Arabidopsis thaliana: one gene and its partner. The protein of the gene in region 1 interacts with the protein of each later gene in a pairwise test. Each region holds a gene or a part of one and is shown in the gene's direction. Other genes may lie near its edges.

Region 1 (6,241 bases):
AATTATTTTTCACGTGTATGATGAAAAGCTGGTATTAAACCTAGGCAAATCATGGGTTGGAAATTCAGCTTTTCGATTCACAACAAAGATTGTCATTGGTCAAGTAATTGTCACGTTTGCTCAGTGTTGTTGGTAAAACAATGATGGCAACTTAAGAGTTAGGCTTCCAAATGCTTATAAATTAGTGTACGTAATCTAACAATAATCATATTTCTACTATTTAAACAGGATTTGGCTGCTATCACTGTGAGAAACCAGGGACAAAAAATCAACTACTTCTGATGAAGCGAAACACATAGAAGTTGGAAATATCATTTGAAAAAAGAAAAAACTACACAGGTTAGTGTTTTCATATTTGCCTCTGAAAAGTGTTGTTAAGTTGATGTTAAATTTACCAAAAGACTATTAATCATTTCATATTAGCAATCCAAAATAGACCCGTTGAAAAAACAATGATTGAGCATCATCATCTGTTAATCTAATCAATACTTCCCTTTTTCTTCCTTTAAAAAGAAACTAGTCCTTCTTCTTCCATTGTCTGTCGTTCACTTAGTTTATTTGGTGTCTAGAATTAGGGAGGCAATCTCTGTGCCACCTTCATCATACTTAATAGTTAGTTTTCCTTTCCTTATCAACTTTTTTCATTAATATAATAAGAAAAAACTCATTACATCCGAGATACATAATGATTTGCAAATAAATTTGAAAACCTTAGATAGCTGGAATTATGATTTACAGTAGTAAATTTTCATAGTAACAAATTTGAACTTCCAATCCGAAATATATTTATTTCTATTAATGGAAGATAACAATTACAGCCAGCAACCTTTGTGATACATGTTTTTTTTGTTGTTGTTGTTGAAGTAGAGCCCATGAGAATTACGCAAATCGCAGATTCGAATAGTGGTTTCTTTGACTCAGTTCGTAAAACAGATAATTCATTAGGTTGCTTTGTTCTTCACCAACAAATTTTCTGCTTGATTCTAAAGTATAAATTGAGAAAATTTAAGTATCTAAATCGAAAATATATTCTTAAATTCGAAGTAGATAAACTATTTTATTGTAAGTGACACTTTAGTGAATAATTGGATATGTTGTTTCTTATCATTAATTTGTCATGTGGAATCATTCTAGCTTATAACTTTCTAAGGTACAGAGAATATGCCACGTTACTGACACAATTATTAACCCTTAGCCCTTAGGTTAAATGAATACTATTATCTATGAAGCATTGCGCATTGCGCTCTGTTTCTAACATCCTTTCCACCCGCCTAAAAACATCTTAATACAGTATATATACCATTGTGGTACTTTTATGTCTAACATAAACTAAGATAGGTATTTTCCATTTTAACTGCTGATCAAACTCAACATAGTGAACAGTACAAACAAAAATCAAACTAACAGTAACTTTTCTAGAAAATTAGTTTGAACGTAGCTAGCTTTATTTATATATGAATTAACCCAATGGAGAAGTTCAGAAGCTCCTTTTTTCAGCAGGATATATGAATAAAATGACGCCACTCCCTTATACTTTACCCAACAATCTATTAATCTTATATCTACTTATACATATACACAAAATTTAATGAAATTTTATTCATACATATTGATAGATACACATACAAAACTTTTTTTTGATAAAATACAGGAGTTAATTTCAGTGATCTTTTCTTTACAGGGAAAGAAAAAAAAGCCGTAAAGAGAGGCAGTGCCACTAACCCTACATCGCACATGCATTTCGTTTGGTATATTACTTTATGCGTAAAGTAGTATTTTAAATACAATTCCAATATTTACGAAATCATTGCACTGAATACAAAATCCAAAGTTTTGAGTTTTTGGCCCCTCTCTTTTTGCCCTGTCAGTCCATTAAACGACCACTATAAGTCGTAAATGGATTTCTCCAATAGTAATATGACACGTCATCCTTTCGTTTGAATCTACCTTCCTCCTCCATTCCACCAAAGTATCGGCCTTTATACAAGTTTGTTTGTTTTCTCTTTTCGTAAACATCTTTAGATATCAATAAGCTAATTTAGTAATTAAGATTGTACCCTAAATTGATTGGAAACTATCGTTATGGATGCTCTACCCACATTAGGATCTTTGTAGCATTTCTATTATGTATTTTACTCTCTATTTAGATTATGTCTACAAAAGATCGAAAACTCGTGATTGTAAGAAATTTTGTATATAAATTTCTTTCTAAAATCTCTGTCAAGAGGGTAAGTTTAAAAAAATAATTGTGAACTAATCAACGTGGAACAAAACTTTTTAAGTATAATCATAATTCATAAACATTGCTTCAAGTCACAATGATGTCTCTGTCTCTCATTATTCCAAAACCATTAGAGGTTATAGAGCCAGTTAATTATAACTTATCAATTCCACTAGTGTTGAGAATGAAATTATTTGTTTCTTGGTGGTATTCACGAATTCTCTTTATCATGCATTACAAATGCCACTTTCGTATCTGGCTAAAACAACAAATACTAAAAAACAAATTGACAAAACGACGCCGCTTATTAACTGCTACATCTAAAACGGGGCCGTTTGTTAACTGCTACGTCTCGTGATAGTTGATACCTCTCTCCCTTTATATATCTTCCTCTTCTTCTCCCTTCCATTATTCTCCACAATTTCATAACTTTCTTCCGCTCAACTTCAGATAAATTCGGATTCTGTAGCTCTTTCAATACGACTGCGGAGATCAGAGCCAATTATTTGGTTATGGCGTCTCTGATCTCAGATATTGAACCGCCGACGAGTACTACTTCAGATCTCGTTCGGAGAAAGAAGAGATCCTCTGCTTCATCCGCCGCATCGTCTCGTTCAAGCGCATCTTCCGTCTCCGGTGAGATTCACGCGCGATGGCGATCGGAGAAGCAACAACGGATCTACTCAGCCAAACTGTTCCAAGCGCTCCAACAAGTCCGCCTCAACTCTTCCGCCTCAACATCATCATCTCCAACGGCTCAGAAACGAGGAAAGGCCGTCCGTGAAGCCGCCGATCGAGCTCTTGCCGTTTCCGCTCGGGGAAGAACACTCTGGAGCAGAGCGATCTTAGCTAATCGGATCAAACTGAAATTTCGTAAACAGAGACGTCCTCGAGCTACGATGGCGATTCCGGCCATGACTACGGTGGTTAGTAGCAGCAGCAACAGATCGAGAAAACGGAGAGTGTCGGTGTTGAGATTGAATAAGAAGAGTATACCGGATGTTAACCGGAAAGTACGTGTTCTAGGCCGGTTAGTTCCCGGTTGCGGTAAACAATCCGTACCGGTGATTCTAGAAGAAGCAACTGATTATATTCAGGCTCTGGAGATGCAAGTGAGAGCCATGAACTCTTTAGTTCAGCTTCTCTCCTCCTACGGCTCAGCTCCTCCACCGATTTGATGAGGTTAAAATCGTCTTTTTAATTCTACCATCTCTCGATCTTTCACAGCTTATGTGTATATAGAAGATTCGGTTTGATTATAATCTGTAACTACTCTTCCCAACCGCTGATTCTTCTCTGCTACAAGTAAAAGTAAATTTTGAACCGAGTCTTCCCATTTTTACGATCCTCAAGTCTAAATTAAGTATATGATTGATTAATAAAGTCTTTACCATTAGGGTTCAAATCGTAGTTGGATTATTTGATTTAGATTGATGAATTCGTTGTTGATCAAAAAAAAAATAAGATTGATGAATTCGTTATTGGAGTTAGTGGGAAAATGGGTTCCTCTTTTAACCTCATAGTATGTGATAACTAAACCAATATGGAACTTTTGATGTACTTTTAGTTCATTCAATATGGCTTTGTACTATATCATCTTATGTACTATATGAAATTTCAACATGAAATAGATTTGTACTGCAATAAAGTGGAAAGAAAATAATTTCCCATTTAGAATTTTAAAATACATTATAGTAGATGTAGGAAGATAATGGGTTAACTTTAGTTTTGATTATGGTAGCATGTGATGATGCATTAGAGAATGAATGGAATGATACATTCAAATTCATTGAATTGAATGATGACTGATGAGATTGATCTGTCACTCAATCATCTACTCGCTTTATTGCCCCTCCTTTGAATCCCATTTTTGATACTTATAGGTTGTTTGTCTTCTTTTTCTTTTCTTTTCCTTATTTCACAAGAAATATAAAGGAAAAAAAGAAGAAAAAAGATTAAATTAGCTAATAATTCCCTGTTACTAAATAAGTTTTCTCAAACACTAATCTGCAGTTCTGCACGTACTGTATATCCTTCAATATTCATCACGAAGCAAAACTGAATAACCTGTAGTTAAAATTGACTTAACAGGAGTTTGATTCATTAGCTTAATTAATATACGAATTTCTGTGATAGGGATATGATTTAAGAACACTGGAGTATGACTAGGCGACAACAAGAGACAAGTGACGACAAAAGCAAAAAATATTTAAAACATAGAGAGAAGTGACCTTAAAAGTATGAGGAGGCACATGGGAGTGGCCATGCCTTTGTCCTCTTGTTTCTTTTTAAGCCTTCTCTTATTAACTTGCACGACAACTCTTTTCATCACATATTTCATAAGTTATATTATTATTGCCAAAAGGGACAAACTATTAGAGAAAATAAACCGCAACATTGTAGAAGATTGGATTAAAACTCGCCAACACACTATTAGAGAAACTTGCCCAGATAAAATTATGTCCATGTCGAACACAGTTATAACCAAGGAGCCTAATTCCCAAAAAATGATTTTTATATTTGGAAACCATCCATTGCAGATACTCCTGGAGGTTTCTCCTAGTCTTCAGTGCCGAAGATTTCACGACAAAAGAAGACTTGAAAATCTCGATACTCTTTTGCGGAACTTTCCCACCGCGACACAAAGAGATCACTCCACAGAGATATGAGGCAGCTTTGAGTCCTTTAGACGCGGCTTTTGCAAACATTCGATCCCTTTCTCTTCATCAACAATATTACTGAATAGGTAAAAGCACTTCACAATTCCTTCACGAGCCACTGCTTCCGTGTTTCCGCTCTCTCTGCATCTCTTGAGAAAACTCTAGCTTTAGTTATAGGTCATCGTTTGCGGTTTTGATTTCGTCGAGGCAGACGTGTTCGAGAACTTGAGGGTCGTTGCAGAGATTATGTAATGATTTGCATACGAGGCTGAAGTTGAACAAGCTTGAGTGAAGAAAGAGCCACGCGTGGCAAGATCTCCTTCACAACCACTTCTTCTGGGAGAGACTCCATTTTATAGTGATTTGAGAAATGATATTTTAATTTAGGGTTTCAACTTAGACGTTTGCTTATTAAATTGTGTGAATAAATAAATATATATATATATATATATATATATATATATATATATATCATTAATAAATAAATAAACGATAAGAGTAACCTTAAAAATCTAGTTGAACCCTAAACCCTATGGCTAATATATACAATGTAATATATTATTCCTCTAATCATCTTTTAGAAATTTTTTATTATTTTTAATTTACACATAAATCAATATCTTTTTCAGATATAGTTTTATCTACATTGTATGTAATACCTCCATGTTGCTACACGTTAACACTTGCATATTTGTTACTCAATCTAATTAAGCAGGAATTAAAAACAACGGTTAACCGGAAAACTTTTACTATTTATCCATTCAGTATTATCTTATAGCTCAAATTACTTTTAGTTTTTACATATAGGATATAACTCTCACACACGTAAAATACGATTAAATTTAAATTCAAACTAGGACACTTATCTAATCTAGTGTTATCTGAATTCATAGAGTGTTAGAAGAATTAGGAAACGTTTTTTAATCAATAACATCATTTTTGGGAATAATATGTTTATCAAATATAAACCTACCCAAAGAAAAAAAAAATCACCAACAAATATAGTACGAATTAAGATTCATAAACGTGTTCCGGAATCCAAAAGATCGAAAGTTTTGGATAAGTAAGATATTCACAAATATTCATTTTTAAAATTCAAAATATTCGATAAATACAAGCGATCTTCCGGAACAGATCTTAAATACGATAAACAATTAATATATTTTAGAAATAAGATCGGTGGCAATTAATAATTATGCTCTAGCGAAGACGTTTCGTGATAACTGTGAACATTAGAGGTTAAGTGACGACAAGTGATCGAGAGAGACAGAGAGAGCCAAAAGGAGAAACTACAAAAATGGCGAAACCGGAAGAAGTATCAGTCCCGATCTTCACATCTCTTGAGCCTGTCTACGGCGAA
Region 2 (8,526 bases), on another chromosome or scaffold:
ATGACATGTTGTGCTCATGCCCTTTCTATGATTTGCAGAGGGAAAACTGATTTACTATGCACAGAAGAATAAAAAAAGAATAGGTGAAAGTATAGAAAATGAGGACAGAAGAAGAGCTTCGGATCTGCATGCTTGTAAGTAGGACGCATAAGACCCCTTGTGTACATCTTCTGTACCTAGTAGAATATATGCTTTTGTTCAATTACAAGTATCATAATAGTGTATACATGATATATGGAAGTTGTATGTGATCTTTTGGGTATCTCAAAGCTGTTGTGTCGGTCTTGTTATTGAGGCAGAGATGAAAACTAAAGTTATTTCAGATCATACAAAAAGAAGTTTAGTATTCATTTCAGAATCATGTTGACTATGCGTCTATAGTCTATACGATTCAGTGGGTAGGGAAAAAGAGTTGGTAACAACGCTATAACACGACCTGAAGCTGCATAATGAGATGGGGTCTAGTTTTCTACAGTCAGAGTCAGGAAGTTGGAAGTGCACGCAGGTAACGACTAAATTTGTTGACCCATTGTGTCATAGTCCATAGTCCAGAACTTCAAATTGTAACTTTATTTTAGATGTTTAAAGCAACTCTTTGTTTTGGTGGTATATACTTCTATCATTTTAGGGTGCACATCTGCTGCGGCTACCTGTAAACGGTATGAACTAAAGCACAATAAGATGTTGGAGTTTTCTCGCAAGGCCGGAATGAGGAGGAGACTGATCTTTAGTTGCAGGATTATGCAGTTGAGAAAAAATGTAAATAAGTTGAATACAGAAATCACAAGACTTGCACATGGGGGTTACTGAAAGTGTTGTTAGAGATATATACGAGCATATAAGAAAAGTGAGCTACCGATGAAATTGAAGGTCCCTATTTCTGTATTTTTGTTAAGATATGATATGTTTTTCCTTCTTTACCCATGAATCTTGTAAAATCTATGCAGACTCAAGAAAGGAGCTTAGTGTATAACGAGACTGTGGTTGACCTTTTAAATCGTGATACTGAGCCCGTTGGACTATTAAATGATCTAGAGGTATTTAAAGGGTTGGAAGCTTTAAGCCAATTGCTGAAATAGACATACACTATCTCGGCTACTTGGAGAATGTTGTCTATTTTGCAGAAAGGAACCATTTTGCCATTGAGGAGAATCTGATGGAGGAAGTGGTTGAAAGCAGACAGCATTTACATCATTTAATTGGCATTTGTGAAGGTTATACTTCCTATCGCTTGTTAATATACTTTTTATGCATTTGATGGTGATGGTATTCTAGGTGCATACGTTTGGCAAAGCCTCAAAGTGTGTTGATGACATTTTGAAGATATGACTCATTGTCTCTTTAATGAGACACATGGTAATCATCTTTTCCATCCATGTATGTGATTTTCCATTTGCTTTTATAGCTCAAAGGCAACTAGAAAACTGCTTTGAACGACAAAAGTTCAAGATCACATACAGGATCTAGAATGAAGGAATTCTAGAAACTAAGCATTCTACGAAAGTTTTACCTGTAAAGATGTAGTGATATCAAATTCGCTCTCCTATTAACATTACTCCTATTGCTTCAAACTTGTCTGTGTTTGATGATGTGCTTATTAGAAAAACAAAAATGGTTTTGGTTGTTCTTGGTAAAAAAAGACACTCTTCTGATGGTCTTCATTTTAGGGGTTTGATTTTAGCTGATTTTTTGTTTTAGGTTGTCTCAGACAAAAAACATCTGCAGCAAAAGTAGCGAAACTCGAGTCAGAGTAAAGGAGCCTGGAGTCCAGTTCATCTACCTCCTTGAAGTCGCTTTTAACTGAGAATGAGATGAAAATCCAACAGCTATGACTTCAAGCAGGTTGACGAACTGGACTCTTAACTCTGACTACAAGCAGGATTCACATCTTGAGTGATCTCTTCTGAAAATATTTAAAATGTGGACCTCACTTGACAGACTACAAGCACTGTTGAATTCAGTTTTATTAACAAAAACAACATGGAGATTGATTTATCACTTGCAATTATTCATTCATGTTAAACTAATGGCAGAACAGCTTAGGAGAAATGATAATGTGATGTGAGGCAGTTAGTCTTTAACTTAGCTGGTGCCTATTGTGCTACTCCACTGATGCTATACCTCTGTTGATAGAATCATACAAAGAAGAGTAATGGATCTTGACATTATATTTTTGGACAAAACCACAAGCCTCGAGTAAAGTTTCCAATTTTTTTTTTGATATTTAGACAAATATATCAAAAATGGTGATTTACTAAATCTTATACTAACTATAAAAAATTCATTACCATCTAAATTTTTTAATGCTAGATTTTCATTTTTTTTTTCATTTTTTTTCTTCACAAATGTAACATTATATTAAACATTCGATACAATACATAACCAAAACAAAGGCCCTTAAAGAGATACAGAAAGTGGAGGCTCAAACTAGCCTATAACGGGCCAAATTTGTTTTGAAAATATAAAAGAACGGGCCTATAACGAACTTATAAAAAGGCTAATATATAAGCCCATTAAAAGATAATGCATGCGTGTCCTCTAACTTGAACCCTTACTACTAACAAACATATCGTTCTCTTTACTTTCTCTTCTTCACAGCAAACTAATCCTCAAACCATTCTCTCAAGCTCGTCTTCTTCCTCTATCTGTGATTTCTAGGGTTTTGTTTTTTCCCTTTTTAATCTCTCAATTGCTTAGTCTCTTCCTCTTCTCTCAACACGTAAGACACGCAAAGAAGAAACAATTTTTCAATCTTCTTGTAGGTAAAGTCCGTCAATTTAATTTAATTTTACTCGCTTGATCGAATCATGTATGTGAATTCGAAATTGTAGTTTAGGGACGTGAAAATTTCGGTTGATTCATGTTGTTTTTTTGATAAATCTTTGTTATTGTTCGTTCTTCGTATTATCTCTCAAAGAATGTACTAACTAAAATTACAAAATTGAAACCAGATGCATAGAGATATGTATTCTTCAAGAGGCACTGGCTACGGTCAACAGCAATACGGTTCGCAATCTGGTTATTCTCAGAATGTAAGATCATCAATTTCAATTGAAACCAAATTATGCTTAATTATGCTTAATTTATGTGTAATTGTTATGTAGCTTGGATCTGGCTATCCTGGAAGTTCAGTGAGTGGTGGCGCAGAAGGAGGCTCTCAGATTTCTTTGAGTTCTCGCCATCCATCAATTACAGGTGCTCCTCAAGAGACTGACATTGGTGGTGGATACAGATCTCATTTATCTACAGCTGCTAGTCATTACGGAACACAATATGGCTCTGTGTATGGATCAACTTCTCTTAGCAGCTCTCAGCCTTTAAGCACCAATGGTTTAGGTTCATCAGTTTTGGATAACCGCTCGGGATATGTCCCTACTTTACCTGATTCACCAAAGTTTGCATCTGGAAGCTATTTGTCTCCCTCGAGCCATGGTTATGGTCAAAAGACGGACGATTTGTATTCCGATAAGCTGTCTGGTTACATTCCCGTTGATAGAAGGCAGTATGGTGAACAATCAAGCTCTTATCTCGGTAGGGAGTTGCAAAATGAACCAACTAGGCGATATGCTGATCCATCTAATTTTGCTCGCCAGGTGCGCCTACTCTCATATTTTTAAGAGAAAATCTTATGAATTTGGTTGGTTTCTGTTCAATGTTGTTACAATTGGCTTGATGATACTCGTTATTATATGATTTTGGCAGACTGACTTGTATGATCGCATTGATCAAGCATCGCTTCTCCGAGGAGAACAATTATTAAAAATGCAGTCGCTTCATACCTCTTCTGTTGATGCAGGTGTCAACAGGTATTTTTCGATGATTGATTCTATTATATCGGTAGCCAGATTTCTTTCTAGCATAGATTTCTTTTTCAAATAGTTTGTATTTTTTGGTACATCTGTTATCTGTATTGTTTTCAGATCTGTTCTCTCAGGACCTTTGTTATAAAGCTACTGTAACTTCTTGTCAAAACTTTCAATAACGATTGAAGAAAAAACATATCTTATTACACTGAGTAGCATACATTTCTGGCAGACAAACCGATTATCTTACAGAACGAAGTTCTACTGTGCGTCATTCTGACCAAGAAGCAATGCATTATGGAGGAAGGCTTGAGTCTGATCCTCACGGTTTATCAGTACGCAACACATCTTCTTATGCCAGCCAACATACCCCATCGTTATTAGGAGCTGTTCCTCGGCGAAACTTAGATGACTATATTTATCCGGAGAGTTCTTCAAATCCTGGTTATGGTGTTAGCTTACCTCCAGGCAGGGATTATGGCACCGGGAAAGGTATCCATAGTGCAGCGTCTCTCGACTTGGACTACCCTGGTGGCATGCTGGCTCGTGGTACTGGCGCTGCTCCTCGTGTTGATGATCTCCGGAAAGGTGACCGGGCAAGTTATCTCAGGGAGTTTGATCTAAGAGAAGAAGAGCGTCGTCGTGAGGATCAACGCGCCAGAGATAAGGAGCGAGAACGAGAGAGGGAGCGCGAACATGACAGAGAACGAGAGCGTCAGAGGGAACGAGAAAGGCAAAGAGCTAGGGACCGGGAGAGGGAACGCATATTGGAGAGACGGGAGAAGGAAAGACAAGGAGAAAGAGAACGTGAGCGAAAACGTGCTCTCGAAATAAAACGAGATCGGACTCCAACAGCAAGAGCTACGTCCAAGGACACAAAGGAGCGGACTCCAGTGCCCAAATCTATTTCTAGGGATGCACGTAGTTCCTCTTTGCGGCGGGATGCACACCATCGTGAAGCATCAATTAGGTTTTATTTTTGATCTCTGTCACGTTCTTCATCTGGAATACAGGGCATTTTATGTTCCTGCACCAGGCACTAACCTTATTTCTGTTATACCTGAAGGCGTTCTTCACCGATTAAGCCAATAAGAAGAGATTATGTCTGCAAGGTAATAAGTGTTCCAAGAGATTCCTCTTTCAGTGATTTTTTTGCCTACTCCTCAGGGTTACCTCATCTTCCTTTCCATTCCTGCATTCTCGTTGTTTTCTTATTGATTGACTTGGACATCTCTTAGTCCCTCCTCAATTACTATATCAGCCTTGCCATTTATCAAGATAATCCTTTCAGCTTTCTCATTCTTTTTCTGTCGACGGGATATCTTCCTGTACTTGGGCTTGTTATACTTCCTCTTTCCTTTTGTGGCGAATTTACTTGGCCTTTCCTAGTTGTGGGTTTATTTGTCCAAGCTTCTGTCTTCTTGCCACCTCTGGGTGTTATTTTGCCTGCTTTTAAAATTAGTGACATATATCAGGTTCCTCATTTTTGTGTCTCCAGTTAGTTTACCTGATTACTAGTTTTTTTTCTGATGGACTTCGTATTGAATTAAATGTGGAAATGTTTACAAGGATGAGACACTTGATGCTTACCACTTTCTCAAATCAAGGACTTTTTGTTATATTTCCCATTAATAAGATTGATGGTGACAGAGATAGGAGGGGCAGAGTTACCTTACACTCTGTATGTGTGATGCAGTGCTTAAGCGCAGTGTGCATTATTCTTTATTAAACTATTGGGTGACTTATGTGCAGGTTTTATCTTCGCGATTGGTTGACATGGAGAGGGATTACGTGACACTAGATAAAAGATATCCCAGGCTTTTTGTGCCTTCTGAGTTCTCGAAGGTTTCTGTTATTCTATCTCCCAATTATTATCTAATCCTTAGTGGAGTTCTAAATGATTGTTAACCTCAAATGTACTATATGTTTCAGGTTGTTGTGAACTGGCCGAAACAGAAGCTTACACTTTCTATGCATACTGCTGTGAGGTGAATTATTCTGCTTCTTATTTACATTTTGTCAGTCTTAGGATTGTAATCCTTCTTAACTGGTTTAAATAGATCTGTTCTGGATTTTTGTTTCCCTTGCCCAGTCCGTATTGTAGAGTTACACACATTATTCAAGTTTTGTGGATTCACTTTTGTTATATACTATCTAGTTAAATGTATTTGTAGACCTAACCATCTTTTTTTGAGGACGACAGTTTTGAGCATGATTACATTGAAGATGGTGGAGCTGATGTGAAAAGTACTTCCACTAAGCCTTTAGCTTTGAAAACTGGAGGAAAAAGTGTTTGGAACGCCAAGGTTGGCTGTTTTTTTCTTTCTCATTGATAAAGATTGCCTCTTTAATTATGTCATTGCTCATGTTTGCACGATGTATCATTGCTGCTATTGTTTCGGAGTATATTGAAAGAATTGCTCATGTGTTATGGGTTTTATGTGCTGTTCAGATGGTTTTGATGAGCGGGCTGAGCAGGACTGCTCTGGAAGATCTTGCTTCAGATAAATTCTTTGAGGATCGTATACCTCATATATGCAACATATTAAAATTCGCTGTTCTTAAAAAAGATCATTCATTCATGGCGATTGGTGGTTCCTGGGATCCCACAGATGGCATGGACCCATCAGTTGATCAGTCTTCCTTAATTCAGACAATGCTGAGGTTTGTCTCTTCACGTATTCTTTTGTCATTCTTTGCTGCCGTTTTGTTCATTGTCTGAGACTTGAAAAACCTTTTCCTTTGCAGACACTCAAAGGATAAGCTTCATCTTGATCTGAGTAACTGCCGTCACTGGAATCCATTCCTAGAGGTAGGTTTTCCTTCTCTTGGTTTAAGACTGCATTGAGATGTTGGACGTGTGGGGACATTACACTTGAGTATTGTAGCTAAGATAGTATATATACCGTACAATCTCTCTTATTTTCTATAGGTAGAGGTCGTTGAAGATGATATGATATTGGTTTATCCAGAGATTTGCTCTATGAATACTTGCAAAAATTGTTAATTTGTGTCCTGTTTTACTGCAGTTTCACTTTTTTGTCAATATGGTAGACCTAGGATAAGTTATAAGCTAACAAAGCAATGTTACTTTCTTGCCAGTTTATATGGAAATCTAAGTAGCTTAGCTTTGCCTCTCTTTTTTGGAATTGACAGATACATTATGACAGAGTTGGTACAGATGGAGTGTTTAGCTACAAAGAGATCACAGTACTTTTTGTCCCCGATTTATCAGAATGTCTTCCTTCATTTGATGTTTGGAGAACCCAATGGTTGGCACACAGGAAAGCTCTTACTGAAAGAGATCGACTACTCTCTCAGGAGGTTAAGAAAGATACTGTTGAAGTAACCAAGGATGCAGAGAAAAAGTCACCAGGAGATACTTCCGGCACTCCGACAACTGGAACTAAGAAGACTGTTAAAAAGATCATTAAAAGAGTTGTTAAGAGGCCTGTCAACGATGGAAAAGCAACTGGTATGAAAGGTGAGAAGTCGGATGTTCCTGAACATGTTGCCATACCAGAGACCACAGTCCCAAAAGAAGAGTCCACTGGTACATCTTCTAACAAAAAAATAGTGAAAAAGGTAGCTGAAACTGGAGATACCTCAGATCCCAGTGCTAAGGCTAATGAGCAGACTCCTGCAAAGACAATTGTAAAGAAAAAAATTATTAAAAGGGTGGCTAAAAGGAAGGTTGCTGAAATAGACAACAAAATGGACGGTGACTCCAAGAAAGACGGAGATAGTGATGAGAAAAAGGTGATGGAGGTAGGCAAGAAATCCTCTGATTCAGGTAGTGTGGAGATGAAACCGACGGCCGAATCTTTAGAAGATGTGAAAGACGAGAATGCCTCCAAAACTGTGGATGTAAAACAGGAAACAGGATCTCCGGATACTAAGAAAAAGGAGGGTGCCTCTAGTTCAAGCAAGAAAGACACTAAGACAGGTGAAGACAAGAAGGCTGAAAAGAAAAACAACTCAGAGACTATGTCTGAGGGGAAGAAAATTGATAGGAATAATACTGATGAGAAAGAGGTAAAAGAAAAGGTTACCGAGAAAGAGATAAAAGAGAGAGGTGGAAAAGATGAGTCCAGGATTCAAGTGAAGGACAGGAAAAAGTGTGAGGAACCTCCTCGCGCTGGATTTATTCTACAGACAAAACGGAACAAAGACTCCAAAGTAGGTGGACAGGAAATTAGAAGTTTCATTACATTTGGTAATGGCTATATTATGGTCGTAACTGCTTTTTTTTTGGCAGTTGCGTTCACTTTCGGCCTCTTTGGATTCGCTCTTGGATTACACTGACAAGGACCTTGATGAGTCATCATTTGAGGTTTGTTTTTCCCTTACGTTTTGCTTAGCCTGTTTTCGTTTTCTTTATACTGGAACTTAGTGTACCACATTTTGTTGTTACATCTGAATAGTTTTCATCAAACTATCTTCTATGTTCTTGCAGATTTCATTGTTTGCGGAATCGCTATATGAGATGCTGCAGTATCAAATGGGTTCCCGTATCTTTGAATTTCTCAAAGTTAGTTTTTAATTGATCTTTGACGTTATTGTGTCCGAGTCGCATGAACAGTTTTCTTATACTTAATTTTTTGTTTCCTTCAAGAAACTACGTGTAAAAATTGTGAGGCAAAGAAATCAACGGAAGAGGCATCAGGAGGAGTTGTCTGTCAAGCAAAACGAAGCAAAATCCCAAGATAAGCGTCAAAAGACA

What was found.
Region 2: the proteins of AT3G06590 (region 1) and emb1579 interact in a two-hybrid assay, tested with the Arabidopsis thaliana proteins (one study listed by BioGRID).

What each region holds. Positions count from the first base shown.
Region 1 is NC_003074.8:2,051,805-2,058,045, reverse strand, and holds AT3G06590 (basic helix-loop-helix (bHLH) DNA-binding superfamily protein), read left to right. Parts: upstream 1-2,379; 5' UTR 2,380-2,733; coding exon 2,734-3,399; 3' UTR 3,400-3,403; exon of another isoform or gene 3,404-4,357; 3' UTR 4,358-4,967; exon of another isoform or gene 4,968-5,046; 3' UTR 5,047-5,299; downstream 5,300-6,241. Other genes in the region: GALK (Mevalonate/galactokinase family protein), read left to right, coding at 6,179-6,241. UniProt on the Arabidopsis thaliana protein: bHLH transcription factor that binds DNA on specific sequence 5'-CANNTG-3' in target gene promoters. Negatively regulates brassinosteroid signaling.
Region 2 is NC_003071.7:949,362-957,887, forward strand, and holds the start of emb1579 (ATP/GTP-binding protein family), read left to right. Parts: upstream 1-2,526; 5' UTR 2,527-2,762; intron 2,763-2,951; coding exon 2,952-3,032; intron 3,033-3,104; coding exon 3,105-3,593; intron 3,594-3,702; coding exon 3,703-3,806; intron 3,807-4,035; coding exon 4,036-4,773; intron 4,774-4,869; coding exon 4,870-4,915; intron 4,916-5,555; coding exon 5,556-5,648; intron 5,649-5,735; coding exon 5,736-5,791; intron 5,792-6,006; coding exon 6,007-6,109; intron 6,110-6,255; coding exon 6,256-6,467; intron 6,468-6,551; coding exon 6,552-6,615; intron 6,616-6,959; coding exon 6,960-7,982; intron 7,983-8,061; coding exon 8,062-8,136; intron 8,137-8,259; coding exon 8,260-8,334; intron 8,335-8,418; coding exon 8,419-8,526. Other genes in the region: AT2G03140 (alpha/beta-Hydrolases superfamily protein), read left to right, coding at 39-134, 476-505, 629-810. UniProt on the Arabidopsis thaliana protein: Required for salt tolerance and sodium (Na) homeostasis after salt stress. Together with BHLH148/RITF1, regulates the transcription of several genes involved in the detoxification of reactive oxygen species (ROS) generated by salt (NaCl) stress. Binds calcium.